Linked DNA regions of Oryzias latipes. The protein of the gene in region 2 interacts with the protein of the main gene of each other region in a biochemical or structural test. Links are inferred from orthologs where the notes say so. Each region holds a gene or a part of one and is shown on either strand. Other genes may lie near its edges.

Region 1 (7,612 bases), on a different chromosome or scaffold from region 2:
TCTCCTCCCCAACAGTCGTTTTTATTTTTACTCTTCATCAAAAGAAGTCAGTCTAGCAACCCCTCACTGAAGCATAAATGGCTCAAAATGACATGCTTTAAGGAAACCCTTAAATCAAAAAGCAGAAAATTTGAGTTGCAATTTGTCAAACTGATTCGCATGCTGCCGCCTGATGTGAGGATCACTCCGTATTGTCAGCACCGGCACAAAACCCGAATAGGATCTGAATGAGAGTTTGCTCATCAGTGAGCCGTGAAAGTGTTTCCCACATGCTGCCGCACACAGAGAGACGTACGTATGGTAAAAAGGGTCCCTCGGCAGATCAGAACCTGCAGGAGGATGCCAGGCACAATGCTAATGATGCAGCGACTGTAATTGCTGTAATTTTGCCCGCTGTAATTACTTCCATCCTCTTTGCTTTTAAGGGATACTTTCATATTCCCTCATCCATTGAAGTCTTGAAGTTATTGCAAAGTGACTGATGTAAGAGAGAGGGGGAAAAGCATTAAAAGGAAGGATGTAAAAAAATCATTGAAAGGAATTCTTAAGAGCAGACTTGCAGCTGTAGGAAGTGAAGGATCAGCTGTATCTGTGCTGATGTTTTCTTACTGATTCTGACATAATTCGTTATGCACGATCAATCTGACTTTAAATCTGCCACTTTAGCTCAACGTGAGTCTCTTTTTGCTCTCAGTGTTTTTTTTTTTGGAGAAGTTCTTGTGTAGATGCACACTGGTCCGCTCTTCTTTTAACTACTGCAGGTGGCTGATAAACAAATATTCGCTCATCTTTCCCCTCCACAGCGATGTCATCCTGGGATTTTAATTACTTTCATAGCCCTCAAAGCCCCATATGTCCTCTCACACTCTGGCTATAGTGTCTTCTGGACAGAGTGCAGGGCTCAAAGACCGTGATAACAAAAACGGCCATCGTTTTCTCCTTGAAATGCCATCTCTTTCCATTCTATAAGAGAACTTTTTCACTATTTTGCTTTTCTTTTTTTAAAATCAGGCTTGAGGATGCACACTTCCCGGCATCCAAAGCCCAGGCTGGACGAAGACACGGAGTCCGGCATCGGCTCCACCCTTGACCTCACAAGCAGCAGCAAGGGTGACGGCAAACATACAAATCAGCCCTTTGGTTCACCTTCGTTCAGAGCGGCAGACAGACTTCCCAGAGAGAACGGTACAAGATGGTCATCAATAGGAGTATCTTACTTTCATCTCAAGGAGTGGCAGCTGGTTTGATTTCCTTTGAAAAGACTAATTATAACTGCAGAAGCCGAGCCAAAGGCTTATCGGACAAGGACATGCTTAAAAAAAAAAAAGACACAGCCGTAGTGTGACCATGTGGCCATACTGTCCCGCAGTGGTGTCTGGCTGCACTCGGGTAATGGTGCATGGAAGATGGCTTTGTTCTCTGCATGTGGCTCAAGTTATCACTCTCACCCAGAACCCAGAATGCAGAGAATAAAAGAAAAATGCAGCTGCGTGAAAAATTCCAGATTTCGGTGCCATTACTCCTTGAGCATTGTGCTGTTTTATCTACAACCTTCTACCTGTTTTGATTTTTTTTTTTTTTTTTTACAGAAGCCCCCCCTCAGACCTCAGAAGTGAGTCCACACAAGATCAAACAGCTCCTTATCAACTTATCCAAGGTCCCTCTTCTCTTCATCCTTCTCTTCTTCTTTATTTGCTCCCTGGACACTCTGAGCTCTGCCTTCCAGTTGGCAGGGGGTAAGTGTAATTCTCACTGCTCACCCACTGTGTCGATCATCACTCAGTGAGTTGATGTTTGACAAATAAGCTATAGCCACAGAGGAGCAACCTTTGCTGCTCCCCTTAGTCCCTCTGGGTGATGTACTGGGAAGCTTCATCTGTGACCTTCATAAATTTGGGGAAACAAGCATTTGGAGTCATGTTTAACATTGCTCATGGCAACCTTTTCATCCCCCGGTCTTTTTTTCTGTCCCTGTGTGTTTCTGTGTATGTGGGTGGCATATTTAACCAGGTAAAGTGGCAGGGGACATTTTCAAGGACAATGCGGTGCTGTCCAACCCCGTGGCTGGCCTGGTGGTGGGGATTCTGGTTACTGTGCTCGTTCAGAGCTCATCAACCTCCACCTCCATTGTTGTCAGCCTGGTGGCCTCCGGATGTGAGTAGGCGCGTTCGAGTTTTATATAAAAATGTCAGCATATTTCATAGTTTAAATAAGGTTTTGAGGTTGAAAGAAGGCATCCGAGCCAGCATCATCTAGTCTGTGTTCAGCGCGCTTAATCCTTTCATTCTTGTGTGTCTCAGCAGACTATCATTACCCATGAATAGATACAGCAATAAATACGAAAACCTTGATAAATCAATTAGGAGCAAATAGTCGATGCTGAATCTTTGATGGCAGCAACAAATAAATATTTTGATTCTGACAGCCTGGCTGTTTAAGTAATCACTGACTGTATTATCTAGAGAAGCTACCGTAAATTCTTATCCTTTTTTCTCCCATGATGTAAAAGATTAATTTAGTAAATAGAAATGACACTGAATGGACAAACGTTTACTAAGATTTTGAAGAATTTAAAGCTGCTTTTTGCTCTGTAATAGTGAGATCTTTGTTCTTGTTATTCTTCATTTAATTTGCAGCGAATTTCTAATAGCTTAATCAAAATTTCGTGTGATCCACCATGTGATGACAAAAGGTCAAACATATCACATCAGCAAGTCAGATTCTCTTCATGCAAAAGTAAAAAGGTTTAACTTCAACACAAAAGTAGGCAGGTTAACTTTCTGAATTTTATTACAGTTTTTGCCTCTTTAAATGACAATCCTACTGCACTTGGATTGATTTTTTATACACAGCATTTTTAAATTTTGAATTAGAAGCTAAATTATTGACCATTTCAATAGCAAGCCGCTATTGAATCTTTGACTTTAGAGGAGCTTTACTGTCAGGATTGTTTGTTTCGCATGTTTTGACATTTTTAGAAAGATCAGGAAGACAACCAACACAAGGCTAAAATAATGCATTAACCTCTTAAGACTTGAACAAATATTTGAGCGAACTCTCAACACACGTAGACACAACGTCTCAGAAGTTTACTGTGGTAAAATAACCGAACATGTGATGTCCACACATGCGGACGCCAGGTCTATAGACGTTAAAGTTGTTCTAGTGCAAACTGATGAGTCCTGTGACTGTACACTTTGATCAGCTCTCTATACAATCACAGAGCTTTCTCTGTATCTGCTCGCCAAGTGTGAAATGTCCTGGCCAGAAAGACCATTGTTCTCGCAGAACAAACGTTTGGCTCCCTGCAGAGTTTAAACCTTAGTTGTCTATTAGTGCAGATTAAAGAAGCAGCTGAACCGTCAACTCTTTCATTTCCTCTTTATTAGTAATTAATATAAAAGTAAAGGTAGAATCATTATTTTACCTTATACTTATAATAAGACCTTAAAAGACTTTCTATTCATTCTATTTAAGACCAACATTACGGAAATATTCCCAGAGCAAACCGATATTTAAATGTCTAAAACTGTGAAAGTAAACATGCAGCTATGACTGAGTTTAAAGGGTAACGCTGACGCCACTGGAGCTATTTATGGTTGTATTACATTTTCACAGGTTTCCTAAATAAAAATGCACATGTTGATGTCACATGAACACAGAGAGCCAAAATATTGAGCACTTTCATGCCTCTGTATCAGCTGCAGCGGTAATGGATGTCTGTGGGTCCATCAGTGTTGGTATTTATTTTTTGTACAGCCAAAACAGCTTCTGAAAAATGTAAAACGCTGGCGCACATTTGTTTGGAAAATGATTTTCCCTTTAGCTCTGAAATAAAAATCATGCAATAATTATGACAGCAGTTTGCACAAATGTTGCGTTGATTGTGCAATTGTGACATTTAGTCTCCAGATGGCTAAATAATGATTTCATATAGACATTTAAAAGTATAACAAGTTATATTTGAGCATTTTGATAAATATTTATATATATATTTTGAAAAAAAGGTCTGATAACCCCTTGACACCTCTTTGGCTCCAGACTTACCTTCATTTTGCATCTACTTGAAAGAAAAAACACGAGTGAAATGTATTTTTCAATCCTGAAAATAAATTCAGGCGTCTATGAGTTAAAGAGTGTAGATTAAAAATATTTTTGATACTTCCAGTTCAGATTAAACTTTGCAGAAAACATCAAAAATTAAGGTAAATAATTTTTTTTATTAATTTATTAATTTTTTAAATTTTTTTGTTGAAAGGAATCATTTCAAAAGTGTTTGCACACTAACTTATAATCAGGGTATTTTTGTTACAGATCAAACTACATGCTCAAATAAATGAGTAATGAAAAATGTCTGATGCATAAATAGGTTTCTGAAACTTCTGAGCACAAAAAATGCTAACAATACATTAATGCTGCAATGAAAGTGTTTACTTTTAGTGGCATATTTATATAGACTGCATTAAAAAAAGAGATGTCCTTGTTCAAAACTGACCTGGGAAACCTAAGATATGTGGCATTAATAAGTAATAAAAAAGGATTAAGACTTTTACATGTTCCACGTTTTTCTTCTGAAAGGAAGCATTAGTGTGAAGAAGCTATTTGTGAGGCCTTTTTTTTAAATGGGAAAGCACAGCATAAAAAAACATAAACATATAGTACAGACCAAAAGTTAGGACACACCTTCCCATTCATTTAAAGGAGAGGGTGTGTCCAAACTTTTGGTCTGTACTGTATTTCTTCATGAAGTGGGTTCGGGATGCTATATCAATGAGGGCACATGCAACATTAACCCCTCCTGTGAGAGTGCTTCCTCTGGTTTTAAAACCGCAATCACCACTCGTCTATTCAACCTCAAGTCAGCTCCAAAACACTCCACGCCGTGCATATCAATTATACGTGGAGGACATGTATACATTGTCTGTTGCAGTTAGCTTATTTACTATGCATGAGGATAGACACAATGATCTTATTATGTAAAACAAAACCTTCTGTTTCGTCTTCTCCTAGTGCTAGAAGTGAAGTCGGCAGTTCCAGTCATCATGGGGTCCAATATTGGCACTTCTGTCACAAACACCATAGTGGCCATGATGCAAGCTGCAGAGAGAAATGAGTTTCAGCGGTGAGTGAGGAGTGTGGTAAGGCAGAGAACAGACAACAGAGGAGCAGGGAGGATGGAAATGAATCAGTCCAGTGGTAAGTAGGTAGAAAAAAAAATGGAAGACGGAATGATAAAAGTAATGAAAGTCACAGGGCACAAAGCGAGGGGGGATGATGAGAAAGCATTGGTAGTTGTTTGCTGGCTCTCACTGTTAACCTCTGTTTCAGTGTAATTTCAAAATCGTGATAATAATGGCATCAGTCCAAATTGACTACAGCAGTAAATATCTGGTATAACTCTAGGCTCAACAGATGGCATATTATTTTACAATTTTTTAAATAAACATATTTAAATATATTAATGTTTTGGACTCAGTCAACAATGAAAACCTTCACTGGAGTTCAAAATCAGAGTAGTCCAGGCCTAAAAATCATAGTTAGGATCAATTACTTTGAGTAAATGATCACGTTTATTGGTGGCTGACCTCAAAGAACATAATTCTCTTGACCTGTCACAGCGCCTTTGCTGGAGCAACCATCCATGACTGCTTCAACTGGCTGTCGGTCCTGTTCCTGCTGCCTCTGGAGGCGGTGAGTGGGTTGATGACCCGGCTGTCCCACCTCCTGGTTAGCATCTTACAAATCCAGTCAGGAGAAGATGCCCCCGAGCTTCTAAAGGTCATCACTGAGCCAGTAACAACACTCATCATACAGGTAAACATGACAGCTAGGCAGCATTTTCTCAATATCCTACTTTGTAAAATTGTCCTTCAAAATGCAATCATGGAGAGACACATTGCTGCGACAACAATCTAGCCATTTTCTACATTCCCCCTTTTCTTAATTAGGGTCACAGAGGCCTGCTTTACCCTCTGTGGCCTGTGGGAGATAGAGTCATTCTACCAGTATCTCCTTAAAATGAGGAGAATGTCATGACTTGTAGGATGGACAGGCCCAGATAATGAAACCCAGAATGAGGACACAGGTAGGTAAGAGGTAAGTAAGAGTTTTTATTTTTCTTCCAGGAGAGATGGTAGTGGCTTGGAATGAGGCTGATGAGGACTGCGGCTTGAGGCGTGGCTGGAGGTAATAACGCGGCTTTGCAGAGTGTGTAGTTTCCACAGGTACGCAGGAGGGCACGATCTGACTTCCGAACAGGTGACACTTGGAGGCTGGAATCCTGAGACAAGGGGAATAATATTGGCGTCGAGACAAGACTAAGTTTTGAAAACATGAGCAAGACTGAGACCAGGTTTAGTCACCATAAGGGGCAACGAACTGGCGATGAATACTGGAGCTGGATCTCCTTTAGAGCTGCAGCGGTTGATGAGGTGGATTGGTAACAGCTAGTGGAGTCAGGAGCACAGCAGGAGGGGGAGGGGCAGGAGACTGACAGGCACCATAACAGAGAAAGGGCTAATCTCTGACATAACTATGGCATCCCAAATTCAGAACTTTGAAATAATCACACGTACCATCTATCTCAAAATCTCTGAATATTGTTTTTACAAACAATTAAGGTTTGCCCTTTAGCATTATTGCAACAATGTCACTTCTAAATTTAAAATTCCATTCCGATCATCTTTTGATCTTTTGTAAAAGCATTCCCAGTAGTCTTTTAATTATGATTAAGCAATTTTTAGCCAAAAATCAAATACTTGGGGATGTTTTCTCCAGGACATAGTGTCTGCAGAGCGGTAGCAGTTCCTTAGAAATTCACTTCTAAGTTGTGGGCGGGTATGTTGGCGTGGAGTAAGCCTTCCTATCATCCCTTTGTTCACATGCCGTCCTGCTAGCTTACAGCCCCTCCCAACTTTTGGAATTGTAGATTCGAACGGCTAAAAAATGGCAAATGCACTACAGTACATGGCACACTATGTAGTGAGGAGAAAAGGAATTTGGACACAACTTGAGAGAGACTTAAATTTCAACACTTTTGGATGTGGTGCTAATCATCTATCTGTTACAAAACACAAGAGATTGTTTCTTTTTTATTAAACAAACAAGTATATTAAGTTAAGTTAAAGATATGGCGTGATACATTTTTCCTCTGGAATTAAACTCCAAATTTAAAAAAAACATCTTTGCTTGGACCAAGGAGACCCCAACCCTAACTAACCCTAACTCTGCTAAAATTAGCACATTGCAGCTTTAAATTTCTTTATTTCAACCCAATTATAGGACGTTTAAAAATGTTGCCGACAATTTTTCTAAATATTTATCCGACTGCAATGTAACTTTAAATACAGGTTAATTTAAACCACCAGATAAAAACAGTTTTATAATTGTAAGAATAGGCGTTCAGGTAAAACATCAGTGCATTTATTCACATTGCATGCACCTTAAACTCTGTGGTAAAGCCTTGTCAAATGGGTAAAATAATTAGGAATCTTTTCTCATCCCATTATTTTACTATGATTTAAAACAATTTCTTGTTTTTCTCTTAGCTAGAGAAATGTGTGATCACAGGGATTGCCATGGGAAATGAGGGCATGAGGAACAAGAGCCTGGT
Region 2 (8,179 bases):
TCCTTGCCGTCCACTGCAACCAGTCGGTCCATTTCTTTCAGTCCTGCTCTTCCTGCTGGACTGTCTCTGTCTATGTCCTTTATGAAGTGTCCTGTATGGAATCAAGGAACAAATATCAAACCACAACTTCCTTCTTTACCCCTTAAACTTTAAGTTAAAATCCAAAAGGTAAACCAAAGTCCATGAAACCAGAATATACAATGCATGTTCTGGATGTCTAGGTATCATTTTAGGACTTTATTTATTAAATTTTTTTTTATTGGGGATGATTATTTCTGCGGTTCTTTGGAAGCACAGGCCGGCTCATATGGCTTAAAGGATTAAGCTATAAAAAACATTATATTATTGTGGCCTTGCCTGCTTGTTTGGGCTCCTCTCTGAGCACGAAGCCAAATCCGTCAGGTCCTTTAGTCAGGTTGACGAGACGCGGTTTGTGAGGGAGAAACTTGACGGTGGCCAACCGCGACCCCATTTTTGCATATTGGCTCCTGCAGACCTTGTCTGCGTCCTCGTCGAGCAGCAGAAACATAAGGGTGTTCCCGGCTTGTTTGATTTTATTCACCACCTGTTCGTGTGTGCAGTCTTCCACATTCTCTCCGTTAACCTCCAGCAGGCGGTCTTTGGCTCTGACGCCTGCCTTGTGTGCCACGCCTCCTGGGCTCACTTCTGTAATGAACAGACCCTCCTCATCTAGAAATCAGTGTAAAAACAACAACAAAAAGCAACATTTTAGCCACCATTTAGACAGAAAAAGACTTGTTGGGATGCTAGTGATACTTCACAGTACATTTCTCTTTCCACCTTCCAGCATGCTCTTTGACCTTTTCAGGTCCTAAAAATGTTTTGCAGCAGTTTGACTTTCATCATTAATACAGTTAGAAAGGCTATATGTGGATTCCCTCTCTACCCCCTAACTCAGGGGTGGACAAACTATGGCCCGGGGGCAAATATTTAATCTGGAATAAATTATTTGGATAATCCCAGGCCTGCCCAATCCTGTTCCTCAAGATCTACCATTCTGTCTGCTTTGCAGCTCGTTGCACTTTCTCCCTGGCCCAGGTGTTCAGCCAATAAGAATAAGGTGACACCTGAGTCAGCTAATCAGCAGAAAGCAGTCAAGAGAGAACTGGAAAACACGCCGAGTGGTAGATCTCATGGACCACCATTGGGTCGCTCTACATGGTGCACAACAACTTCATTGACCTTTGTTCAGGTCCAGAAACCTATTACTTTGCATTCATGTGGTGTTGGAAAATTGGTTGTTTCTCTGACATTCATGTGTGTTATTTTCCGATCGTTCCAACACGACTTAAACGCAGCATTTTTCTCAGTTTGCGTTTTCCCCTGAGGGGCATCGACCCATTGGTGCAATCACCACTAAAATTAGAACAAATAACTCCAAAAGGCTTTGTTTAGAAAAACATATACACTGAATGTCAATCATGACAAAAGCATGTTTTTGTTCAGTTTCCATGTTATTTCTATATATAATTAAGTGGATCACCAAAACACTCCATGCATCTGCTCCTGCTTCGGCCCTTCTGTCAAATTATACTGTAGAACACTTTGTGGCCCAGGGGTGAAAAAGTTTGCCCACTCATGCCCTAACTTCTAAAAAAGATGTCATGCAGAGATTTCTTGTGCCCTGGATTTGAAAAGCGATCCGAAAACCATGTGTACTGAGTAACGACTTCCCGAAGTAAAAACCTAATAAATATGAACATTTTACAATGAATCCACTGTGTTCTGATGATGAAAACTTCTTTTGTTTTGAAATGAAAAATCTTTCAAACGCAATGCATTATGGTCTATATTTGGCAACCTAGTAAGAATCGATCTGCACTAGTTTTTTGCAGAGACTTCTGGGAAATTACTAGAGCACTAAATGATGGAATTGTAGATTTGGACACCCCGAAAAAATGGCGAACACAACTATACAGTTTACTAAATAGTGAAGGGACTTCGGACATAAACATTAGCTTTAGGAAAGGCACTTCCCAGCAGTGGAAGACCTCTTTTACCAGCAAACACTGACACCAGCACAACTGGATGTAATTTCGAGTGATCACATGGAGGAGAAATGACAGCAGTGTGGCATGAAAGCAGCAACAACATCTGCTCATGAAACTCATCAAACACATGACCCACATGCAGCACTGACACCCCCTCTACTTGTTTCAGTAATTTACCTTTTATAAACGTAAAGTTATGTATCTACAAACAAAAATGTTTGTCATTTGTTTTTTTCCAGTTTATACAACAAATATTTCCTTTTTTGGCGTCTTTAGTTTAGTTTGTCTGCAGATGGTTATTGGTATTGTTCTTATTGCATTAATTATGCGTAGGAACCGGGGCAAATGTTTTAAAGATCATCTTTTGAGTTATTTTCAAAGTGTTCCCAGTGGATTTTTAATCATGGCAATGTCCAAATTCTTTCACTACTCTGTTCTGTTATTAAGTCTGTTCGCCATTTCGTAGTCTGTGAAGAAAATGTATTCAAATTAATTTTTGAAATAAAAATGATCAACGTCTATTCTATTCTATTCTATTCTATTCTATTCTATTCTATTCTATTCTATTCTATTCTATTCTATTCTATTCTATTCTAATCTAATCTAATCTAATCTAATCTAATCTAATCACCACCATGCACCTAAATTCAGAAAACTGGATTTCTTTCTAACAGATTAGATTTCTTTCTTCAAGTTAAGGTAAAATTTTTCTATTTACATTTTCTTTGGTTAAAAGTAAAAATTTGTTTCTAGAAAAAAACTTTAAGTATAATTAAATAAGATCAAAACAATTTACATTTTTATATTTTTCAAACTTTCATTACCTGCTGTGAAAAAATAAAAAAGGACTAGATGAAGAAAGAATTGCATCAAAGTCAATTCTTTGTGTTTTCTGCTGGTGGTCATGAAATGTGTGGACTATTACTGTGTTATAATGAAGATCAATAACATGGACCATTTAATACTAGATGATTGGAGATCATGCTTTACTCAAGCTAAAGATGTTTCCTACAGAATCACCCTTCTGTTACCCTCACTGAGGATACGAAGGGGATTTATCTGAAGTTCCTGATTCTGAGCTCACCGTTACTCGTGAAAAGAGAAAACTCGAATCCTGAAGCCGATTTCACCAAGTAGCAGAGTTTAGGTTTTGGATCCCCTTTGGCCACTCCGTTGGCAATGACCTTTGACCCCACTGTGCTGTGTTGTTCAGAGAGGTTGACCCCTTTTGCCTTTGCTTCCTTATAAGTTGACTCGTCCATAATGTGGAATGTGACTGATGTTCCGCTGTTTTTCACCAGCTCCACAACCTGAAAATAAAAAAAAAAGGGACAAAGGAAGACGTGTTTGATCCTGGATTATCAAGGAGACGTTACGAGGAGCTCACCTCCGTGTGGGACAGCCCATCGACAAATGTTCCGTTGACTCGGATGATGCGGTCTCCGTCTTTGATGCCCGCCAGTTCGGCTGGGCCTCCCATTTCCAGAGAGCGGATCAGGTGACCCTCCTCGCCAAGCTCCATCCTCAAAAAGAAGCCGAAGGTCTGTCTCGGCTTTTTAGTCAGAGAAATCACCCTTGGCTTGTACGCGGCCATGTCTGAAAATAAAACAAAAAACATCACTCATCAATTTAGGAAAAACATAAATCGTGAAACCTAAGCACATGAAAACAAACTTTGAATCGACATTTTTAGTTCATTGAATGCTCTAGCATTATGAAAAACAATAATAACAAGTTTGGTACAGCTAATTATTCATCTGTTTTCGTAACCCTTGTGCTATCCTAGGCACTTTAAGAGTGGGAGTTGGGTCATCTAGACCCACTAGACAGTGCGCTGAACATGTCAATGCAAGGGTGGCGTCATCTAAGATGGCACAAGGGTTAAACTGCTATATCCCTTTCGGGGTCATGGGGTTGCTGGAGCCTGTCCTGGCTGCTGTTGGGTGAAGACGAGGGACACCCAGGCTTCAGAGTAACCAATTAACCTATGAAGCATGTTTTTGGACTGTGTGATGAAGAAAAAACCCATCAAACTCCAAAAAATAAAAGTGCAAACTCCACACAGAAAGGACCCAGCTGGGATTTGAACCAGTGCCTTCTCACTGTGGGGCAAGAGTGCCAACCACTGCACCACTACACCACTGAGGAGCCTGATCTGTCTTACTGATGCTAAAATCATCAGTTTTTATCTGCTCCCACCCATGTGTCATTGGTTTAGTCTTGTAAACATAACTAAATTACCAAATAATCCTGGACATAAAGCTGCCACAGAAGTGCTGATAATTCCAGATGAAGAGTTAATCTTCCATGAAAGCTTTGGAGCGCCGGTTAATAGTTAATGGGAGGCACAGCTGTCTACGGAGCATGCAGCACTCACATGGACATGCATAACAAGGACTGTCAGAGTCATTCCCTTTGTGTGCTGCTATGTCTGTTTGGACGGGTAAAGTAAGAAGTTCACGCATGCTAAAGACAGTCATCGTCACAAAAAATGTTTCCTTTCATTTATACAAAAAATTTTCAATCTTTTGGGGTCAAGATGAACATAAATGCATTTTTTTTAAATAATATAGTATATAAAGGAAAGTTGTGGCTTACAATACTTATCATCTATCATTTTTTAAATTAATCTAAGGACATTTCTGAATAGAGTCAGTGTACAACACATAAAATGTACCAAAACAAAAATAATCAAACAAAAAATCGGATCCAGATTCGCCATACAAATTACTTTAAAATGCATTTTTTAAAAGCGTGCTCACTCACCAGCTCTCACCTGTTCAGTGTCCAAGTCTGAAGAGAGATTCCACCTGTCACCGATTACCTGTTATTGTTCCCTCGGCCTGTCCCCGACCCTCCTCTTCATCTCTGAGCGGGGACTTTGGCGGGCCAAAGGTGGACCTAAAGGTTGAGTTATTTAACAGTGTCTTGTGTCGTGAATGTCTGGAGAGGCAATGGTGCTGTTCAATCTGCGCCTGCAGAAAAGGCAGTCACCTGCTCTGTGGTCAAAGGTCCACCAAGTGGGCGGCAATTAAGCAATTACAGTTCATGCATCACAGAAAACATGAAGTGCGTGCCATCCGTTTATAACCATAATAAAAGATTCTTTTTTACCAGCTGTTTTTTTGAATGCGCTTTAGGAACATAGTTTAATCCCTTAATCTATAGATTACTAGTAGGTTAAATATAAACCATAAAAGTTGTTTTTGTTCTTATGTTTTTAGTCAGAAAATAACAAAAAAAACCACATTCAATTCAATTCAATTCAATTTTATTTGTGTAGCCCAAAATCACAACAACAGTCGTCTCGATGGGCTTCAAAGTAAAACGTGAACTCAAAAGGATCACGAATACAAAGCGTTCAATAGGAAAATACTAAAATGAACTAAAAAAACTGACTAAGCTAAACTGGCATCCCTGCCCTTAGACACCCCCCACATGGACTCAGCCCTGCAGCAGCTCTATTATAAATCCTTGTTTTTGTTTAACTTTAACTGACTAACTTCATTTTTTGAGGAATTTCTTTAAAACACCATTTTATTTTATTGTTGTGTTTTGAGCAACTTTGCAAAGGACAAAGCAACAAAAAGCCACATCCTCCCTTTTTATTTTTTGGAAGAGTTGGTCCTCACTTGCAGACTTAACCAGATTTTGATCTTTCACAGAAACAACCTGCAGCTTAGAAGCAAAGGCTGCACTTAGGACTTCACTCTGTAAAGTCAGGACTTTTTCAGCAACATTAACATGACGTCCAGGTGAAGCTTGGGTGGGGCCTCCTGTTTATATGGTTATTGCATTCCGACAACAGTGTTGTGCAAGTTACTTCCAAACTGTGTTACGTAACAGATTGCTCGTTATGTAAAAGTAATTACTTATTTTTATACTGTCTCCGCATTGTATTGTGTGCATTAAGTTTGTTTCTTTGTAAAATCTTGAGATGTGGAACATTAAATCTGAAGCTAAAAATGTATAGCAGAGCAATTATTTTATAGTCACGTAAGGAGCAATATGATTTAATCATGAATAATGATCATTTATTTTTGGTCCAATAAAAGCACAGGAAAAACCCTCAGCTTTAAACATCTACATTGAAGAATGAGGGGGAAAAAAGAGACTAAAGGGAGAATCTGAGGCTTTTTTCCCTCAGAAAGGCTCAAACAAATTCTTCCTACTTAAGAAAATTGAAACAAAAGTGGATGAAGGCCTCTTGTGTTAGACATATTTTACTGTTACAACATGGGGTTATGAATCTTCTGACACACAAGGTGTATATTTGAATTAACCCCATTTGTAATTTAGACTAATTTTTATTTATATTAATTATATTTGTGTTCTTTTGTTGGACCGGACTGAAACCTGATGTTCTGTAACAACAGGACAGACAGATGTTAGCTTGGTGGAAAAAATCAGAATGGTCGACGCCTATACAGAGCACATATATGAAAGAAAGTGTCTGGGTCTAGTTTAGATAACCCTTGTGCTATCTAAGATGACCCCACCCTTACATTGACGTGTTTTTCCTACCATGACAAAGGTGGATAAAGGTGGAAAGATTTCATGTAATCCATGGACACCAGTGAAGATCACAAATCATTGAAGAAAAAAGGTTCAATGCACTGTGTAGTGGGTCTAGATGACCCTACTCCCAATGTTAAAGTGCCTAGGATAGTACAAGGGTTAATCAGATTTGAGAGGGACCATGTACAGGAGCATCAGTCAAAGAAAAGGGACATGGTACCAGACCATAGCTCTCCATCTGCAGTCCTCAAGACGTACAAATACAAGAATTAACAATTAGCATAAAACAACACATGGCAATTACCTAAAAGGTACAATCATTTCGTAATATAACAAGACAAAACAAAAACACTACTTCTCATAATACATTATTTGAGATCATTTATAGTTTTGTAAATACTGTTTTACTTCTTAAAATACTACATATTTAAAAATGCTGACATGTCTGTTTGTTAAAAATAATTGCTTCATATTCGTGCCAAAGGGAAGTTTTGAATCATTTTAAGTGCATTGGTAGTTAGTAATAAGAAAATGCTGATTGGCCTGGACAAGAACAGTCCTTCTTTAAGGTATCCTGCACTGGATCTTGTTGTTCTGCTCATTTCTTCGGATGTCAACCTGGCCAAGGTTTTGAGCGCTGGAGGAGCCGTTATCTAAAACAACAGCCGTAAATTTGCTGTTTGTTTTTTAAAGCTTAACATTTGAAGTTTGATTAGTATTTTTGCAATGATGACGTTGTCGTGATTCTCCATCAAGAATCCTATAAGTGCTTGTTTATTGATGGATGCTAGAGGCTTAATCGTTGTTTTATTTGCTGTCTATGAAACTTTACAAGAAATTGGGTTCAGTAAGTTTGGCCAAAATGAATAAAAAGCTTGAATTGAATTTAAGTGATTAAATACAAACTTTGAAAAATTGCCTTTTGGATGGTTAATCTATTGTAACACACACAATAGTTAACCTTTACTCAAAATGCATTATTAATACCCTACAGTACTTTTCTACAGCAAAACTGACTGTAGTATGTTACTTTTGTAATGAGTTGCTCACAACAGACTCATCTGGTGTCATTAGAAAATAAATGAAGGATGATAAAATCTATAAGCATCACATAGAATTGTTCCAGAAATATGGGTTCTTTTATTGGAACATAAAAAGTATGTATTACAAAAAAAGTACTATTAATTTAGAAAATGCAGGCTATTTCTTTGCTCTCAAATGAACTTGCACATGACATCTATGTCACAAATGGTAAGCATATCCATGATCTCTAATGTTTCCATTTACAAAACCTTTTAACGTATGCATTGAATCTGCGTGAACGGCCTTCACTTTTCTGCTTCTTTCGTGGCACTCTGATACTTTTTTATGGCACAAAAATTCTCAACAAGAATAAATCCAAATACTGTAGTTCAGGCTGGAGATGCATAGATTCCTTTCCCTACATTGGAGACGTGAATCATCTGTGGCAGCAGCTGGAAGGAACGTGAATCCGGTTTTCCCCACGGATCTCCTGGTACTTTTGATGGAGAAGTTGAGCTCCAAACAGCAGGAGAAACATTTGGTTGCATCAATTACCCTCACAAACACACAAAAACATGCCTGAGCTGTATGATAAAAATGCATGTTAGGATATTATTGCACAGAAC
Region 3 (7,612 bases), on a different chromosome or scaffold from region 2:
TTCATAATGTTGAGCAGTAGTGTTATCTCTCTGAAACATTTTTCGTGTGTTGATATAAGAAGGATAAAAATTTACAGCCCTGAAAGCCCGGGAAATAAATGCAGGACTCGCCACAGTAAAACACATTACTGTTGCTGTAATCTAAGCTCTTAGATTCAGTTGAAGTTTATTTAGTTTCTGTCAAACAATAAGTTAATGAGCTCAGGGAATAAAATTTTTACTTTTTCTTTGCCAAAAAAATACGAAATTGATCTGAAATGAATGGTAATACTTATTGAAAGTGTAATGTAAAATCGATAGAAACAGGAAAACACTCAAAGTAAAACCGGATTTGTATGTGTTAATGCTGAGTGTGTAGGTGTAACTTACTTCCTAATGTTCTTAATTATTGTCTCCATCACCTCTTCCCAGCCATAGGCTTTGACAGAATGGATGTTTTCCATGATTTCTGAGGTGAGAGCCAGCCGACGACTGGTGAATGCAGCTCTCTTTGCGCTGTTCACAGGAGACAAGAAGGCAGCAGTTCAGAGATTTCAAATAACCACCCCCTTGTATTTAAGACTGATATTAAATAAGAAGTTATTCAAAGCTATTACTATTTAGAAGACAAGGGGCAGACTCAAAATTGTACTGTTGGTACTGATGTCCAGTATAGTTACAATGAGCCATGAGTTCTTACCGAGGAGGCGTCATTGTCATCGAGAGCCAGGCTTGGAAAATTCCCAGTAAGATCATGGCCAATAAACCCCAGAGGGAGTTCACCTCAATCAGCTCCCAAACCAGACCCGCACACAGCATACACTGCAGGGGCGTGATCCACACAAAGTGTGCAAGACCCAGACTCTGGAACGCACACCAACACATGTTGTATTTGTTTGCATTGCATTTTGCAGAAGACAGGGTCACTTTTCTAAGTCCTGTCCTTCATGACATCGCCTTAATCTTAAACAAAAAGTGTTGCGTTACCACACGTCTTTGATGTGACTCTGTGGGATATACTGCAAAGTGAAAGGGGGATGTGAAAGTTGCATGCTACACTGAAATCGTCACACAAGAACGTTAAATAAAGAACGGCCAACTCCTGCATCTCTTTGATCTCCAAACAGCAAAACTACACCAAACCAGTTATTCATATTATACAAGCCAGATGTAAGTCAGGTGATAATTGTCCCAAAGCAGGCACAAAGTGTTTCTACATTCAACACCTCAGTGAGACTTTAGGCAAAACAGCTGACAATCCACACAGGTCTTCACTTCCTACACTTACTTTGCATGGATACGGTTTTCTCAACACTGTCACAACAAATGACGTAACCTTTGTTTAGGTAATAAAACTCAGTCATGTATATCTGGTATTGTCTTCATTACAGAGGAGAAGGCTCTGGTGGTAGCATGGACACTGAGAAGAATTTTAAAATTTGACTTTCATGGGAAACAGCCAAAGCGTATAATTATTAATGGTTATTCTGATTCTGCATGTGCTTCACAGATTTCAAACTCAGCTTTTGGGGTTTTCTAGCGGATCAAGTAAACTTTTCTTCTCATAGGAATGTCTTGACTCTTACCTCATCCAGCTTGTTGAGGTGGGCAGACATCAGACTGACGAGCTGGCCTGTGGTGATCTTGTCCAAGACTTTGCTGGAGAGCTTCAGGGTCTGGAACGTTGAAATGTCAGGGATCAACAAAGGCACAAATGTGAAAGTAAACTGGACTTTGAAAAGTCAGACAACTTGTGCGACACTTGGGTCATGCAAGAAGATTTTAGGAAAGGTGTAGCGTGAAAGGATTTAGGCCAAGGACATCCAATGTAAAACAGAGGGAAATCCATTCATCTAGCGAGTCTATCACATGACCAAAACACATCTCAGCAAACACATTCCATTGTGGCTTTAAGTGTCAGAAAAGGCTAAATTATAAATCGGTTTTAGAATGAATGGCAAATACAATTTAGTGCCTTGTCCAAAGACACTTGAACTGAGACTGTGGTAATTATCAAGCCATCAACCCTATGAATTAGAGATGACTGTTTCATCTCCGAGGTACAGCTGCCTTCATCAGTCACAGAAGGTTAATGAAATACAAATTTGAAGTGATCCCACTTTGTCATGTTTCAGCTTTCATGGTCTTGCTGTTTTGGGTTCAGCATCCTGATTGACTGTTGACCTTATAAATCAACCTCCTCTGTGCCGTGTCTCTTGTGCAAAATGCTTTCCGCTTTTTACATTTGCTTAAAGCTTTGCGATCAGCTTTTTGTTTTCATTCTTTAATGCTGGACTTATTTTTCAATGAAGGTTTGAACCTTGACAAAAAGTGTGAAAATGTTCATGTCTGTCTGAGAAAAGTGTATAAAGTGTGTAATTTTTAAAGTAAAACAAAGTGAAACAGTTTGATAAGAAGGTAGATGAGGTTATTTCCAAATTGAAAGTATTTAATCTGGCTCCCAACTCGGACATTCAATTTGTTGGCCAGATTTGGTGTAGCCTGCTTTCAAGTGGTAGGGGTGTGGACTTTCCACTCATGAAAATCTTTGACAGTAGTTTAAAACCCCTGTTTTCCTTTTTTGGCTCATTTTGTCAAATAATGTTAAATAGATCATGTTATCGTCATCTACCACAACTCTTTACACACAGTAAGTTGTGTTGTGTCTTTCACACAAATGACAAAATGCCATTTCAAAGATTTAATATCAATAGTATTGGATTTTCAGCTAACTAAAAAACATTTGAGATCAAAATACTACAGTAAACTATCAACTTTTTGGGGTTTTACTCAAATATTTGAATAAAAATCCATGCACATTTCTAAAAGAAGAAAATCAAATGTTGTTGTCAAACATGTACTGTTCTTACCTTCTTGTAAATAAGACTAAAAAGAGCAATGCGAATCTGCATGCCAAGGTGATGAAGGCCGAAAATGGCGGGCTGCAGGAGAATGAAACGAGCAGTGAGGAGAAGGCCCAGTCCCAGGGCCAGGTAGTATCCCTGCTGTCGCTCTGGAGAATGGAATGGATCGAAGGAAGCAATAATGCGTCCAGAAAGCTGAGGCTGCACAGTCTTTGAAGCTTCCTGCAAAGTCAGGTAGATTGTCACGCTCCTCTCCTCCTCAACATTCTTCTGCATTTCTGCTGCCAAAGCTGAGTATGTTTTCATTGTAGTCAATTTCTGATCATTTAAATGAATCCCACTATTATTAACACAATCACAAATGTTTTTCGTCTTCAGGTTTTGTTTTTATTGGTTTTACCAGCATCTGTTTCTTTGGCTCAGCACTGACTGACTTTCTTTTGACTTAATTGATTTACAAGAAAAAAAATTACCAATTGTGTTTTAGCAATTCAGTGTTTGGAATGAAAGCTTCTATTTCAATGTTAATTCAATGTCAACTTCTCTGTACCTTTTCCATCCAGTGGCTGCTCTATAGGATGCTCAATAGAACTTGTCAACCAGGTTTTTGGAGAAAGAACAGTTCACTGGAAGTAATTTACCTTAAGAAAACATGATTTTGTTAATCCCCTTCCCCTTATACATGTGCACAGACAGGAAAAGTCCATCGGTCTGGACCCTGTCTGCTTAATTTGGTCCAGATTGAGTCGTGAACCTTGCTCTTGGTCTGTACTCAGACTTCCGTGAAGCGGACATTTCAGTTTCGAACCAAGGTTTGTAAACAAAAGCACATGACTGAGGATCTACTCAATCATTGGCCATGAATTACGAGGGTGGGGCAAAACAATGAAAGGCAGAAAGGATGACTGATTCAAACTTTATATTTCGCAGACCAATTCTGAATGTCTGTACAACACCTTGTCAGGTACAACACCTTTTACTTTGGGAAAGTGGAGGCATGCTGCAGGCCGATTGTTGGCAAGAAGACGGCTAAGAGGGTACACTGATAAGTGTTTATGACATATAGATTGTTGGGAAAACTGTGAGAAGCAATTTTAGTTAAAGGTAGGTAAAAATTATTCTAATGAGCCAGCATTTATCCGGCTACATTTCAATGAGTTGCTGTGTCTTGTTATGGCTTCACGTATACCCACAGCTTAACTACTCTGTTTACAACCCATAATGCTCACCGAAGGTGGCTTTTTTGGTTCAGTTGTTCTGAGAAAGGATTGTATTCAGACAGAAGAATCTCAGAGCGAACTGAAGCTCAGTCCGATTGGAAACGAACCAAGACCACCTCCAAATATGGGTCAGAGAGCGGTTCTTGGTCCAGGACCAGGATCCACTTGAGTGTATTCAGACTGAAAATTTGTTCTGGATTGTCGGAGGAAAGGAACTGTGGTTGAGTTTAAGCAAACCAATTGTGCCGTCTGAATATATCCTCAGATTCACAGATTAATGTAAGCAGCAGTGTCCATTTTGCTCTGTTTTGCTGCTGATCAATTGTCCTCATCAATGGAGCCCATCCCAGCGACTGTGGGGTGAAATTGGAGTATACCTGGACAGGTCCCCATTCTAATGCAGGGTCACACATTCTCATAGAAAGTTTTGTATGATGCCCTGAGATTGTTTCATTTAGATGAAGACTAATCCCTTTATCTTGGATTATAACCATTCTATTTAATAAAGACATCCCAACTGTGTTTAATCAGACTTCAGAATCTTTCTGACACTCACCCCGAGGTAGAGAAGGATACCAAAGAAGGCGAAGGGCAGGAAGAAACAGCGAGCCAGTGCTTTCAGCAGCCTGGGCCTCTTGGATGACACCACCTCTCTGTCCCATTCTCTGCAGGGTGTCAAGAGTTACAGCACACTTTAGCAGCATTCAGGCAGAGAATAGCACATCTATCATCCACATGTCAACCAAGATGGACTCTACATGCCATTTGCATGCTACTACTTTGGCAACAATCTAAGTTCAGGAGCAGTGTTGCCAGATTGGGTGGTTTCCTGCCCAATTGGACAGTTTTGGTTTCTATTTGTGGGCAAAAATTCCTTTGGGCAGGTTGACATAATTTGGACGGGTTTGGGATCGGTTCGGTGGTTTTTCTTCTTCATCAAAATCCTTTTTTTACTAGGAACCGTGCAGTCAGGGGAGGCACGTGAAACAGTACCACCCATGTCATTGTCCTCGCCATAATGAGCGACTAATAATAAAATAAATATCTGTTCACTAATCTGTTCTATAAATACAATTTGTATGTATCATTTTATCTTTATTTTCCCTAAAAGCTGTGCACTTTGCGTATTTCTTGTTAAGCTACAGCGCAGGCTGTGAGGTGAAGCAGCACACGGGTATGTAAAGGGTTTTTGGTAGAGGTCATTGAATTGGACTAAGCTGATGCTGACAGAGCGGCCGACAGGGTCATGCGTCAGGAGAAGGTAAAGTTCACATTCTCAGAATCTCTGCTCAGCTACTGAGGCCAAATGAGGCCAAAATCAACCAGTCATTTATCAGCTGGTGAGCACTGGGAATCTTTTAAAGGTTAACTTTTTACCACCCATGAACATTAACTGGTTTGTCTGCTCCATTCAAAGTGAGAAAAGGCTGAAAGGATGGAAAAAGCAAAGTGGGATCCATCTCTCTGCAGTTGTTGGGAAAAGTCAAGACAAACAGATGAAGGGGAAAGATGGGACTAATGTTCCGGTTTTGTAACAAAGTGAAAAATGTTCTTAACAGCCATAAACAGCAAGAATTTAAAACCTTTGTTTTTAGACATTCAAGGTATTTTACCAGGTTAAACGTTGTTTGAACTTTTTCTTTGCTCTAAGCTTTTCTCAAATAGTTGAGAATTCTCGTTAACAGCTAGGATCAAGAAGTTAGGAAATCATAATAAAAATAAGTTAAAATCATTTTGCTACATACTCCTGACAATAGAAAAACTTGATTTAAAACTCAAAAATTATCAAAATAAATGTTGACAAGTTAGACTGGCATTCATTGTCATTATTCCCATCCAGATTTCTGTTCAAAGAACAAGTGCCGGTTTTAGATTTTATGAGGGTTTATTGAGATGGTCCAACTAAGAACTTAGTCACATTTAGTTCACATTTTATTTTAAAATGAGTCATTTCCGCTAATTACACTTTTTTATCTCTGTTTGAACTACAATCATACATAAAACTCAAAAAACACAAACCATGTGTTAAGAACAAGCAAAAAAAAATCTCTTACTACTGTCATGGATAATGTTCAATTTGAAGTAATTCTATCCAAAAGTGGCATATAGCTCAGTTTTTCCTTTTGAGTGCTTGTGTCAAACCCCTTGTTTCTGGAATGTTTTATCTAATAAGATTCATTATTAAGTTAAAGTTTGCTGCTGCATGGACAGATCATTTTGGTATACTTCCTTGTGATTGGTGTTCTTTTCCCATGTTCACACCGGGACGAATTTCGCCGGCGATTTTCGCCGACGTTTAACGCCTCGTGACTAAACAAAGGGCACCAACGAGAGTGTGCACACCGACGCGAAAAAACGCCAGGCGTTAAAGCGTCAAAAAAAAAAAACGCCTCGGGTTCGTTTTTTTTTTTCGACGCGTCGCGTCGAAATCTACTCGACCAATGAGAATGGCGCTTTTGCTCACGTGTCTGGAGCTTCTGAAGTTACAGTAAAACACAACTTGGGGGCGCTCAAACACAAAACTGCCTTGCTGAGCACACATACCAGCGAAGAAGATAGACGCCAAGTAGCGTCTACACAACCGCGAAGCAATAATGACGGACATTCTAAAATATCCCCGAACCAAGTACCAGTTGGAGCTACTGGTGCTTGAAATATTCATGTTTTCTTTGTTTGATTCTGACAAGCGTGTAAATACTTGCTCTCTTCTTCTGAGTGAAAAGCGACTTTAAGAAGCGTAAAGTTGCGCAGCGCCACCTTGTGTACAGGAGTATTTCTGTTTTACATTAAGCGCCATCTAATGTCAGGGAATGAAATTGCATGTTCATTCCACTCATCGTCAGCGAAAATCGCCTGGGTGTGAACACAAAAAACGTGGCGAAAAACGCTGGCGAATAACGCCTGGCGAATATTCGTCCCGGTGTGTACGGGCCTTTAGGCTACTTCTTTTTCAGTGTGAGCAAATATATTACAGCAGAAACAACCAGAGGAGCTACTATGAGACCGAACTCTTGGAAAGCCACTACTGACCTTAACAGAGTAACAAAAGCCTTAAAAAATGCTGATCTCTCCTAAATTCCAAAGAAAAACCGCTGAAGATTCCAGCTCAGTTTATGTTTATCCTAATATTTTTTCATCAACAAGCACATCTCTATATCAGTCTTCTTATTTTTACAATTCACCACAGTTGAGCAAAATACAATTTCTATGCATCCATGACAGCTGAACAGAACAGAACAGCAGAAACTTTCATCGTAGACCAAACATGATCGCATTTGTTTCTTTTACAGGAAATCTACAGAGAGCAAACGAAAAGAATTCAGGTTGAGTTTAGTTTAGTTTAGTTTTCCATGATGTGTCACAAACAACAAATCACCTCAAAATACAAACATGGAAAAAATGAACCCCCCCTAATGAGATGCTTTTATCAGGGGTCCCACACAGTTTATTTTTAAAATAAAAGGAGAATAAGATTTGAAATCTTTTAGGCATAAACAAAGGGGTTTTAAAAGAAAAATAAAGCCCACTTAACTCATATTAACCCTTGTG
Region 4 (8,391 bases), on a different chromosome or scaffold from region 2:
TAATTTGAATTATGGTACCAAATACCAGTTACAATTTCAAATGCGATTGATTTTGTTTTTTTATTTAAAATTTTACTTTAAATAAAATGTATTTTTAAATTTTTCAGATTCATTTTCCAATCCGTTTGTTCCCTTTCGGGGTCACAGGCTGCCGGAGCCTATCCCCCCCGCGGGCGAAGGCAGGGGACACCCCGGACAGGTCGCAGGGCCACAATCACACACACATGCACACGTACACTCATAGAGTAACCAATGAACCTATGGACGGTGGGAGGGAGTCGGAGACCCCGGAGAAAACGCATGCATGCACGGGGAAAACATGCAAACAGAAAGGCCCCCCACTGGTGTTCTGGTTCAGGTCCCCCAGCCAGGACTTGAATCGGGGACCTTCTTGTTGTGAGGCAAGAGCGCTAACCACTGCGCCACCGTGCAGCCCATTTTCCAGATTGAATAGTAATTTTTCACATTGAATTGTCACCTTTGAATTCTGGGTGAAAACTCCCTCATGCAGACAACAACACGCAGCGCCACCAGCAGGAAGGTCACACGGCCGGGTCGGTGGTGTCGTAGAAGCGCAGAGGGGCTTTGCAGCTCCGGGCTCCTCCTCGCACGCTCAGGTCCACGTACCTGCACACGGGCAGGACGACTCCAGCTCATTTCCCTTGATGCTTTGGGATGTTTCCATGATGCCCTACCTGCACGACACTCTCCAGAACAGCAGGGTGTTCACAGCCATCAGGGTGGACAGGATGAAGAAGAACCCCTCCAGATTCCCATCTTGAAGTGAATTTGGGTAGAAGTCACCTGTTGGAGTAGATGTTTGTAGTTCACAGTTATTCAGGCTAAGAGGACAACATGCAACCTGCAGTTTGATTCCCGTTGCACCTCCTGAGACGGCGTGCACCAGCTGAAGGATGAGGGCTCCTAGAAAACAGCCCCCTCCGTAGGACAGGGTGAGGAAATGCAGGGAGATTCCTCTGATGTGGCTCGGGGTCAGCTGGAAGGAAATGAGGGAACCTGGCAGAGAGGACGGGTGGTTAGGAAGGAAGTCAGGAGGAAAATGCCACCATGGATGCTCCTTCACGCACATGCAGGGGTGACGAGGGCTTCTGCCACGCCCAGCAGGACGTACTGAGGCGCCAGGTGGAAACACGGCATGGACGACACCTGCAGAACCTTTCCAGACAGAGTCTGCTCCACCAAGGGGTGGAGCCTCCTCCACATCTCCGACACGCCTGCCCCCAGAACAGACAGAGCGGCACACGCGTGTCCCAGAGCTGGAAGGGGAGGATGGACAGGGGGGGCTGGTGAGAGAGGGGCTGCAGAACGAGGGTTGTGATGTCAGGAGCAGAAAGGGAGTGAAAGACACGCCAGAACTTTTAGAAGAAGATGCTATAAGCTCGGGTTTGAGTAGAAAGGCGAACTCAGCCGTACCTATGAGCTTTGCAGGAGCCAGAGGAGTTTTCCCCGTCGAGAGGAGGTAGGTGGTCACAAACTCAGCCAGTGGAGCCAGCAGCAGCAGGGGCAGGATGCTGACCACGTTCATGGTGCCGATGGGCAGCAGCAGGACGTCCAGGTGCAGGTTGGAGTTCATGGCCTGAATGTAGTAGCCGGAGGGGATCTGCGTGACGCAGGCCCTGTACAGCAGCTGCAGCCCGTAGAGAGGGAAGAGCTCCGTCAGGACTTTGACGCTCTCCACATGCCTCTCACTGTACCGACCGCCGTTGTTCTCCTTGGCCCGGTCCAGCCAAGACACCACGTCTCCACTCAGGTGGCGACGGTGGAGGCAGCACATCTTCAGAGAGTTCAGAAAGACTCCCAGCGTGGTCAGCAGAGACCCTCCTGAGACACACAGAAGAGCCAGGGAAGGATGCGAGCCTGCAGGAGCTGCTTGCTTTGGGTCAGGGCCTCCTGTCACCTTTTCTGGGTCTGTAGGTGAGTTTGCTGCGCGTCATGTGGATGGCGATGAGAGCCAGGAGCACAGAGGTGAAGGGGATGAGGAAGCCCAGGTTCTGAGCCACAGACTGCTGGATGTAGGCGATGCCCAGAAACACCACCGTGGAATTCAGGTTCACCAACCAGTAGAACCTGAATCCAGCAGAGCAGAACGTCAGACGTTTGCAGAAGCTGCAATGTCCACGCCGGGTGAGTAAAACCTGCCAACATTTCTAAAGAACAGGTAACAGCAGTCCTCTTGATTGTTGTCTTTTGTTGTAATATTCATGTTTTCCAACCTTTTGGATACAAAGCCTTCAGTTTTTAGCCCAACAGCATCTTCTACTGCAGGATTTCTCAACCATCAGCTTCTCCTTTTATAATAAAGCTGAGGTTAAGATGACATTTTTATTCAGATCAGTCTGTGCAGATGGAAAAGTACAGTTCTGTTTACGTCTGCATCTGTGAGGAGGTTTTGAAGCAGGTTAATTAACAAATTTGAATTTTTATAAAATTGCAGCATAAGTGAAGATGGACGGCATTGTCTTCAGTCGCTGTTAAAATGATTATTCTAGATCTTTCCCTTCAGTCTGTGACACATCATTATGAAAAGCCTTCTCATGAATTTGTTCATGAGTTCCTTTGGGGACTAAGATATCCAGAAATAAAGATGAAATTAACCAACTGAACCATTTTCTTTTATGGTTATCAGAATTTGTCATCACGCCTAAATACATTTTGGAGAATTTGACAAAATCTTGAGACATCTTTTATAATTTGTGGTCCCATTGAAAGAACACCTGACGTCAAGCGGTTCAGGGAGAACCTTATTGACCCGGTAGAAACTATATTCTGGTCTCTCTGGACGCTCTGCTTCCACGCCACCCACCAGTTGAAGAAGGACAGCAGCTGGTGTTGGTTGTAGGTCTGCAGGCTGTAGGCCCCCATGGGACAGAGAACGGCCCGGATGCCGCCGATGCCCAGCGCAGCAGCCAGGAGGCCGGTGTAGAACAGGATCTGCTGCTCCTGCGCTTCCAGCCTGTGGAGCATGTGATGAGTGTCGATGTAGAAATCCTCAAAGGGGAACGCCACCACAGGCAGCATGACCGTACCTAAAGAGGACAGCAGTGACGAGAAGACGGCATGGCAGCAGCAAGAAGAAACCGGACAACTGAGCATCAACTTTGAGGGTTTCGTGTTTTGTTTTTTTGGGGCCCTGTAATGTTTGTAGGAACTTCTCTTACCAAAGAAATGAAGAAGAGTGCACAAGTAGAGCACTTTAGTTCTACCTAGGACGGTTTCTGCGAACCAGCCGACCAGGACGGGGCTCAGGGTGCTGGCTCCGATGAAGCACAGGTTGACAGTTGCTGCCAGGCGGTTGTCGTAGCCCAGCTTCACGGTGCAGAAGAGAATCATGTTGCAAACAATCCCAAAGAATGTGAACCTTTCACACAACTCTACCAGCAGCACACAGATGATAACGCGGAGCTTTTTGCTGGGTTTCCTCTGGGATCTCCGCTCCGGAGGAAGACCCTGGGACAACCGTGGCGCCGGGCTCCTGCCCTTCAGCAGAATCTGAAATTCTCCGGCCGCCATAGCAGGAGAAGGGCCCGGCGGCGTCTCCGTCTGCTGAGGAGCGCTGAACTGAAAGAAGCTTCCTGCTGCTGTGTGACGCAGGCAACAGCGGCACAATCTGGAATCCCACAAGCTGGTGTGACACTGAACCACAGGCACTCGCTGACCGGCTGCTGGTAGATCTCCCTCCGAACTATGTGATCCTGATGGGAATCTAACACTCTGTGCAAAATTGCATCTAGAAGGAATGAGAGGTGGGGGTGATTTAGAGAACACCCCCAGTAAGTTGTTGGAACCAACAGGATCTCCAGCTTCAAGACAGTTACTGTTAAGTTATTGCAGAAATGATCTGAAAATGTTTTCCTGTTACAGTCTGGATCAATGAGGAGCTTCAACTCCCCATCATTAAAACCAGCTTCATTCCAGTCTTAGAATCTGTCTTCCATGTAATACTTTGGTGAACAGGTGTGAGGCTCCACGTGTTTCCAGGTGTGGAGCGAAAAGGTCATGGACATGAGCTCAGGTGGAGCTGCACACAAATCACCTCCCGGCGCTTGTGTTTGCACGCCACGTTAAAATTTAACCCTGAGAGATTTAAGAAAACCTCAAAGTCATGTCCTACGGTACTTAAGGGGAAAAAAGATTTGTCATTAACTTACCCAGAATGCATCAGTGCTTTGAGCAGCCGCGCAGTGTTGATGCACACACTCAGAATGTGGCGTGTCTCTGTGAAAGCGTGACCCGCTGCATGAGCTGCCTTTGGGCCCCAATTAGGCTCAGAACGTTAATTGGGAAAGAATAACAAGATTTCGGTTTCAACCGGGACAGAACTGTGGGATAAACAACCAACCAAGAACAGACATTCTGAAGCAAAGAATCTTTTTTAAGAAAGCTCTAAAGTGTGACATGTTTTTTTTCAAAATTACATCAAATATAAACTCAAAAAACATGTAGAGAAAGGAAAAAAGGAAAAGTATAAAAGGCTTATATATTTGTGGGGGAGTTTGTGCTTGTGTGCTATAATACTAACATATATCTTTGTACATAAATAAACTACATTTTAGTTGTTTATTTTGATGTATCTACTTTAATCGTCTAAATAAAAACGCAGAGGAACTGTTCAAATCTAAATTCACTATATTTATTTTCAATATTGCAAGCGTCATCTGTCGGATTGCTGAAAGTTGAACAAGACCAAAAAAGGGCGTCAGGCGTCACCATGGAAACGGAGACCGCGTGCCTTGGCTCTTGGAGGCGTGGCCTATCAAAGGAATAACAAAGTTTTTAAACGTTTCCCGTTTTCCTCTGTAAATCCACCGCTGAATGTCCGGAGCAGGACCGAAGGTTTTTTCTACACAGATAAGTCTTTCTAGAGATGAAAAACAATAAAACCTTAATCTGTGTGGCGCGAAAATACGAGCTCGTGCTATTCTTGCTAACTGTTTGCTAACGTTAGCCTAGCCTAGCTAAAGCGTCATTTTGATCCCGCTCTGCGTTTGTTTTCCGGCTTTCGTTGGTTCTTGTAACGTTTCTGAACACTAGTTTGCAACATTTAGAGGCTTCCACCGCAGAAATCTGGGTCCACTGACCGGAAAAAGGATGCCAAACTGTCCGGTGTCCGTGTCGGGGGGGTTCAGCTCAACCCCGGTTAAGAGCAACCGAACGACGGAGCTCATAGCCGGGGAGTCTACCGGAGACGAAGACACGTTTTCTCTGCTGTCTCCCATCTACCACGACAGCTTCGACAGCGACGGAGAGGAGCTGAACTCCAGCCCCATCCGGCTGCAGGGACCCGGGTCTCCAGACAGGTACTGCTGGTCCTGGTTCTGGTTCTGGTTCTGTCTTTCTTCCATCATCTCAGCTTCTCTGGAAGCATCAGAAAGTATCTCGTCAGCAGCTGCAGAGTCCTGCTGATCTCAGGTTCTGCTGAATGGAACATCTGGTCTCTTTTTCTTCCACTTCTTCTGTGGATGAGAGGAACCCAGACAGAACCCACAGAACATCTCACTGTTCTGATGTTTGAAGGGGATCGGTTACTAAGACAGTTTTAAGCTCCGCAGCTCTGATTCTGTCTGTTTCTGAAGCTCTTCTAGATGTGAGCTTCCTAAATCTTCTCTGGAGCCGTCTGCATCCCAGCCGTCTGCATCCCAGCCGTCTGCAGCCCAGCCGTCTGCTGCCCAGCCGTCTGCAGCCCAGCCGTCTGCTGCCCAGCCGTCTGCAGCTTCTCTCAGCGCGTGGGAAACATGGGTATTGAGCAAAGCTAAAGAGGAGCGACTTAAACTGGAAAAGAAGGCAGAAGAAGTAAGTTTCTTGTTGCAGTTCTTTCTCCGTTCCTCTTGCTTCTTTCTTTCACGTCTCCTCATCCTGTATCCCAGGAACGCATCCTGAAAGAAAAAGAAGAACAGCAGGAGAAGGAGCAAGAACGGAAAAGGATGGTCATGGAAGAGAAGATTCAGGAATGGCTGAAAGTGAAAAGAAAACACGTAAGAAACAGTCAGTTTCAAGTGATTTTAGTGACATGGTGATGAGGGCTGCAGTCATTCTCTGCGTTCACATAGAAGATGCAGGAGCAGCTGGTGAAACACAGAGCAGAGGAGGAGAAGATGCAGAAGGAGATGGAGAAACAGAGGGAGGTTGAGCAGAAAGCTCAGCAGAGGTATAACGTCTGGCTGCAGAAGAAGAACCAAGAAAAACTACAGAAGGAAAAGAAAGAGAAGGCAATAAGACTTCCTGGAAACCAACATTTCTCAAGGATTTTTCTCAAAACTGGGTGAAAAATCTTCATGCGTCTGACGATCTAACAGGAAATAGCAGTCCTGAAGGGGGAGCAGGAGGAGGAGCGCCGCAGGAGGGCAGAGGAGAAGTTTAAGGAGTGGCTCGCTAAAGCCAATGAGAAAAGCAGAGCGAGTCCCGAATCCCCTCGTCACCAAACGAGTGAGTTCCCCTGAAGGACTCACCAGAGCTCCTGCCTGAGATGCAGCCGCCGTTTGTTAGTCTGGATGTTTACAGGAAGTTCAGAAATATGTTTCCTTTAAGGTCCCTACGACAGACTGATCCCAGCTCCCAGCTTCTACAACCCAATCCCCTGGAAGCCCATCCACGCCCCTCCGGAAAACCCGCAGAAGAAGACGCCTGTCCAGGGTCAGGGTCACCGCGGGGCTTTAAGACGGTCAAACGCTGGGAGCACGCCGCGTCTGCTGCAGAGGAGATGACTTACTGTGTGGCCCTCAGAGGCCCCGAAAGCTTCAGAAGCTTTGGAAATCAGAAAAGCCTCTGAAGCCTCAAAAGCCTTTAGAGGTTTCAGAGGCCTAAAAGCCACAGAAACATCTGAAGCCTCAAAAGCCTCAGAAGCTTCATTTCATCATCTTTGGAGCTGCTGTCACATTCAGTCCATATTGCGATGGATTCATCCGTTTTTCAGGATGTCAATACTTGACTTTACTTTGAAAGTAAAATAGAAAAATAAAAGTGATTTCAGAGTCCGGGATCATGTTTTCTGTCCTCCAGACTCTGAACTTGTTCTGTGTTTGCATAAAAGCTGCACATTCAGAGCCCGTCTGGCACACAAAGCTCCTCTGAGGTCCGGTGATGCAGCAGAAGGAGCCGGCTGCTCAGCGTCGCTCACACGCCGCCATTGTTTGGCGTCCGGCTGGATCTTCTGCGGGCTGAGGTGACAGCAGGGAGCAGTGTGGGGGAGCGCAGGGAGGTCGGAGCGGCGTGCTCCGTCTGGTGAAGGTAAAACGTTGATGTTTGTTCCAGAGCGCCTGACGGGAATGTGTGGACGAGACGGCGGTGAGCGCCAACAGCTGATCAGATAAAGACCTCCGTCTCTCTGCTTCCTCAGATTTATGGGAACATGGAAATGTTTAACCAGCCAACGGGGTCATGAATTATTCACAGACTTGTTCCTCCTTTTCCAGGTATCGCCACCTGTTTGGACAGAAAACTGAAGCTCCAGGATGCAGTGGTGCATGTGGGCTGGCGGCTGGAGGTCACACCTGCAAAGGCAGGTAGTGGGCGTGTCCATCATAGAATGAAAGTGAGAAGTCCAGAGGGCACAAATGCAGGCTGAAGTCTGAGGCTGGGATGAAGAACCGGGCTTTCACCTGTCAGGTGGAAGGATTTGGATCCTCCTGAGGGATCCCCTCCTTTTCTTCAGAGGGAAACCACCGGTCCTCACTCTTCTGTCCCGGTGGCTGTTTTAGGAAAAGGCTGTCTGGCTGACATGTTCCGGCTGTCCTAAAGGAGATTCTCCTCGTCTTTTTCTGGAGGATGTGACTGTAAATTGTGTAAATAGTTATTGTTGACTCAACAGAAGGCGCTGGTCGAGGCGCAGAGCTGTGAAAGCCGCTGTTTTTGTCAGCATGCAGTCTGCCTGCTCGGACAGCGAGGACTCCTTCGACTTTCTGTTCAAGATCATCCTGGTGGGGGATTCGGACGTGGGGAAAACCTGCCTGGTCCAGAGCTTCAAGTCTGGCGTTTTCATGGAGAAGCAGCAGAACACCATCGGGGTGGACTTCACCGTTCAAACCATGGATATTGACGGGAAGAAGGTGAAGGTGGGTCTTCTGTCTGTCTGGGATGTTTTCTGACAGTTCAGCGCAGACTAACGGGTCAGTTTGGACGACGCTGAAGTTAGCTTCCTATTCACAGCTTCTGAAGGAACATTCTTCACAGTGAGACCACCTAGGTCCAGGTCCTGTTAAAAACCGCTGGCCCTGGACTGCTCAAACCAGGATTAAATTAGGATTGAGATAGTAAAGAATACATAAACACATTGTTTAGTCTACAGGGCCTGTGGTTTTGGAACAGGACCCGGTTCTGGGTGGTCTCAGTGGAATGTTCGCTTAGTGCCCCATGCCATCGGAAGCTGTGAACAGG

Evidence for each region.
Region 1: the proteins of pdzk1 (region 2) and slc34a1 form a complex in vitro, tested with the Homo sapiens proteins (2 studies listed by BioGRID and IntAct, with this or other methods). The link is inferred for Oryzias latipes from reciprocal best matches to the Homo sapiens genes PDZK1 and SLC34A1.
Region 3: the proteins of pdzk1 (region 2) and cftr form a complex in vitro, tested with the Homo sapiens proteins (2 studies listed by BioGRID and IntAct, with this or other methods). The link is inferred for Oryzias latipes from reciprocal best matches to the Homo sapiens genes PDZK1 and CFTR.
Region 4: the proteins of pdzk1 (region 2) and slc15a5 interact in a test that uses a peptide from one of them, tested with the Homo sapiens proteins (2 studies listed by IntAct, with this or other methods). The link is inferred for Oryzias latipes from reciprocal best matches to the Homo sapiens genes PDZK1 and SLC15A5.

What each region holds. Positions count from the first base shown.
Region 1 is NC_019868.2:16,452,138-16,459,749, forward strand, and holds part of slc34a1 (sodium-dependent phosphate transport protein 2A), read left to right. Parts: intron 1-1,011; 5' UTR 1,012-1,019; coding exon 1,020-1,185; intron 1,186-1,589; coding exon 1,590-1,736; intron 1,737-2,010; coding exon 2,011-2,154; intron 2,155-5,010; coding exon 5,011-5,122; intron 5,123-5,618; coding exon 5,619-5,814; intron 5,815-7,547; coding exon 7,548-7,612.
Region 2 is NC_019879.2:25,367,404-25,375,582, forward strand, and holds the start of pdzk1 (Na(+)/H(+) exchange regulatory cofactor NHE-RF3), read right to left. Parts: upstream 4,942-8,179; 5' UTR 4,779-4,941; intron 3,609-4,778; 5' UTR 3,607-3,608; coding exon 3,400-3,606; intron 3,323-3,399; coding exon 3,097-3,322; intron 691-3,096; coding exon 358-690; intron 92-357; coding exon 1-91. UniProt on the Homo sapiens protein: A scaffold protein that connects plasma membrane proteins and regulatory components, regulating their surface expression in epithelial cells apical domains.
Region 3 is NC_019864.2:3,312,351-3,319,962, reverse strand, and holds part of cftr (cystic fibrosis transmembrane conductance regulator), read right to left. Parts: intron 4,729-7,612; coding exon 4,620-4,728; intron 3,066-4,619; coding exon 2,850-3,065; intron 1,656-2,849; coding exon 1,566-1,655; intron 844-1,565; coding exon 680-843; intron 496-679; coding exon 370-495; intron 1-369. UniProt on the Homo sapiens protein: Epithelial ion channel that plays an important role in the regulation of epithelial ion and water transport and fluid homeostasis. Mediates the transport of chloride ions across the cell membrane.
Region 4 is NC_019864.2:31,086,819-31,095,209, forward strand, and holds slc15a5 (solute carrier family 15 member 5), read right to left. Parts: upstream 4,561-8,391; 5' UTR 3,532-4,560; coding exon 2,825-3,531; intron 2,089-2,824; coding exon 1,919-2,088; intron 1,843-1,918; coding exon 1,435-1,842; intron 1,320-1,434; coding exon 1,089-1,319; intron 1,018-1,088; coding exon 886-1,017; intron 805-885; coding exon 696-804; intron 628-695; coding exon 543-627; 3' UTR 343-542; downstream 1-342. Other genes in the region: ccdc34 (coiled-coil domain-containing protein 34), read left to right, coding at 5,110-5,318, 5,595-5,811, 5,886-5,993, 6,069-6,227, 6,315-6,444, 6,547-6,722; ras-related protein Rab-19, read left to right, coding at 7,875-8,069. UniProt on the Homo sapiens protein: Proton oligopeptide cotransporter.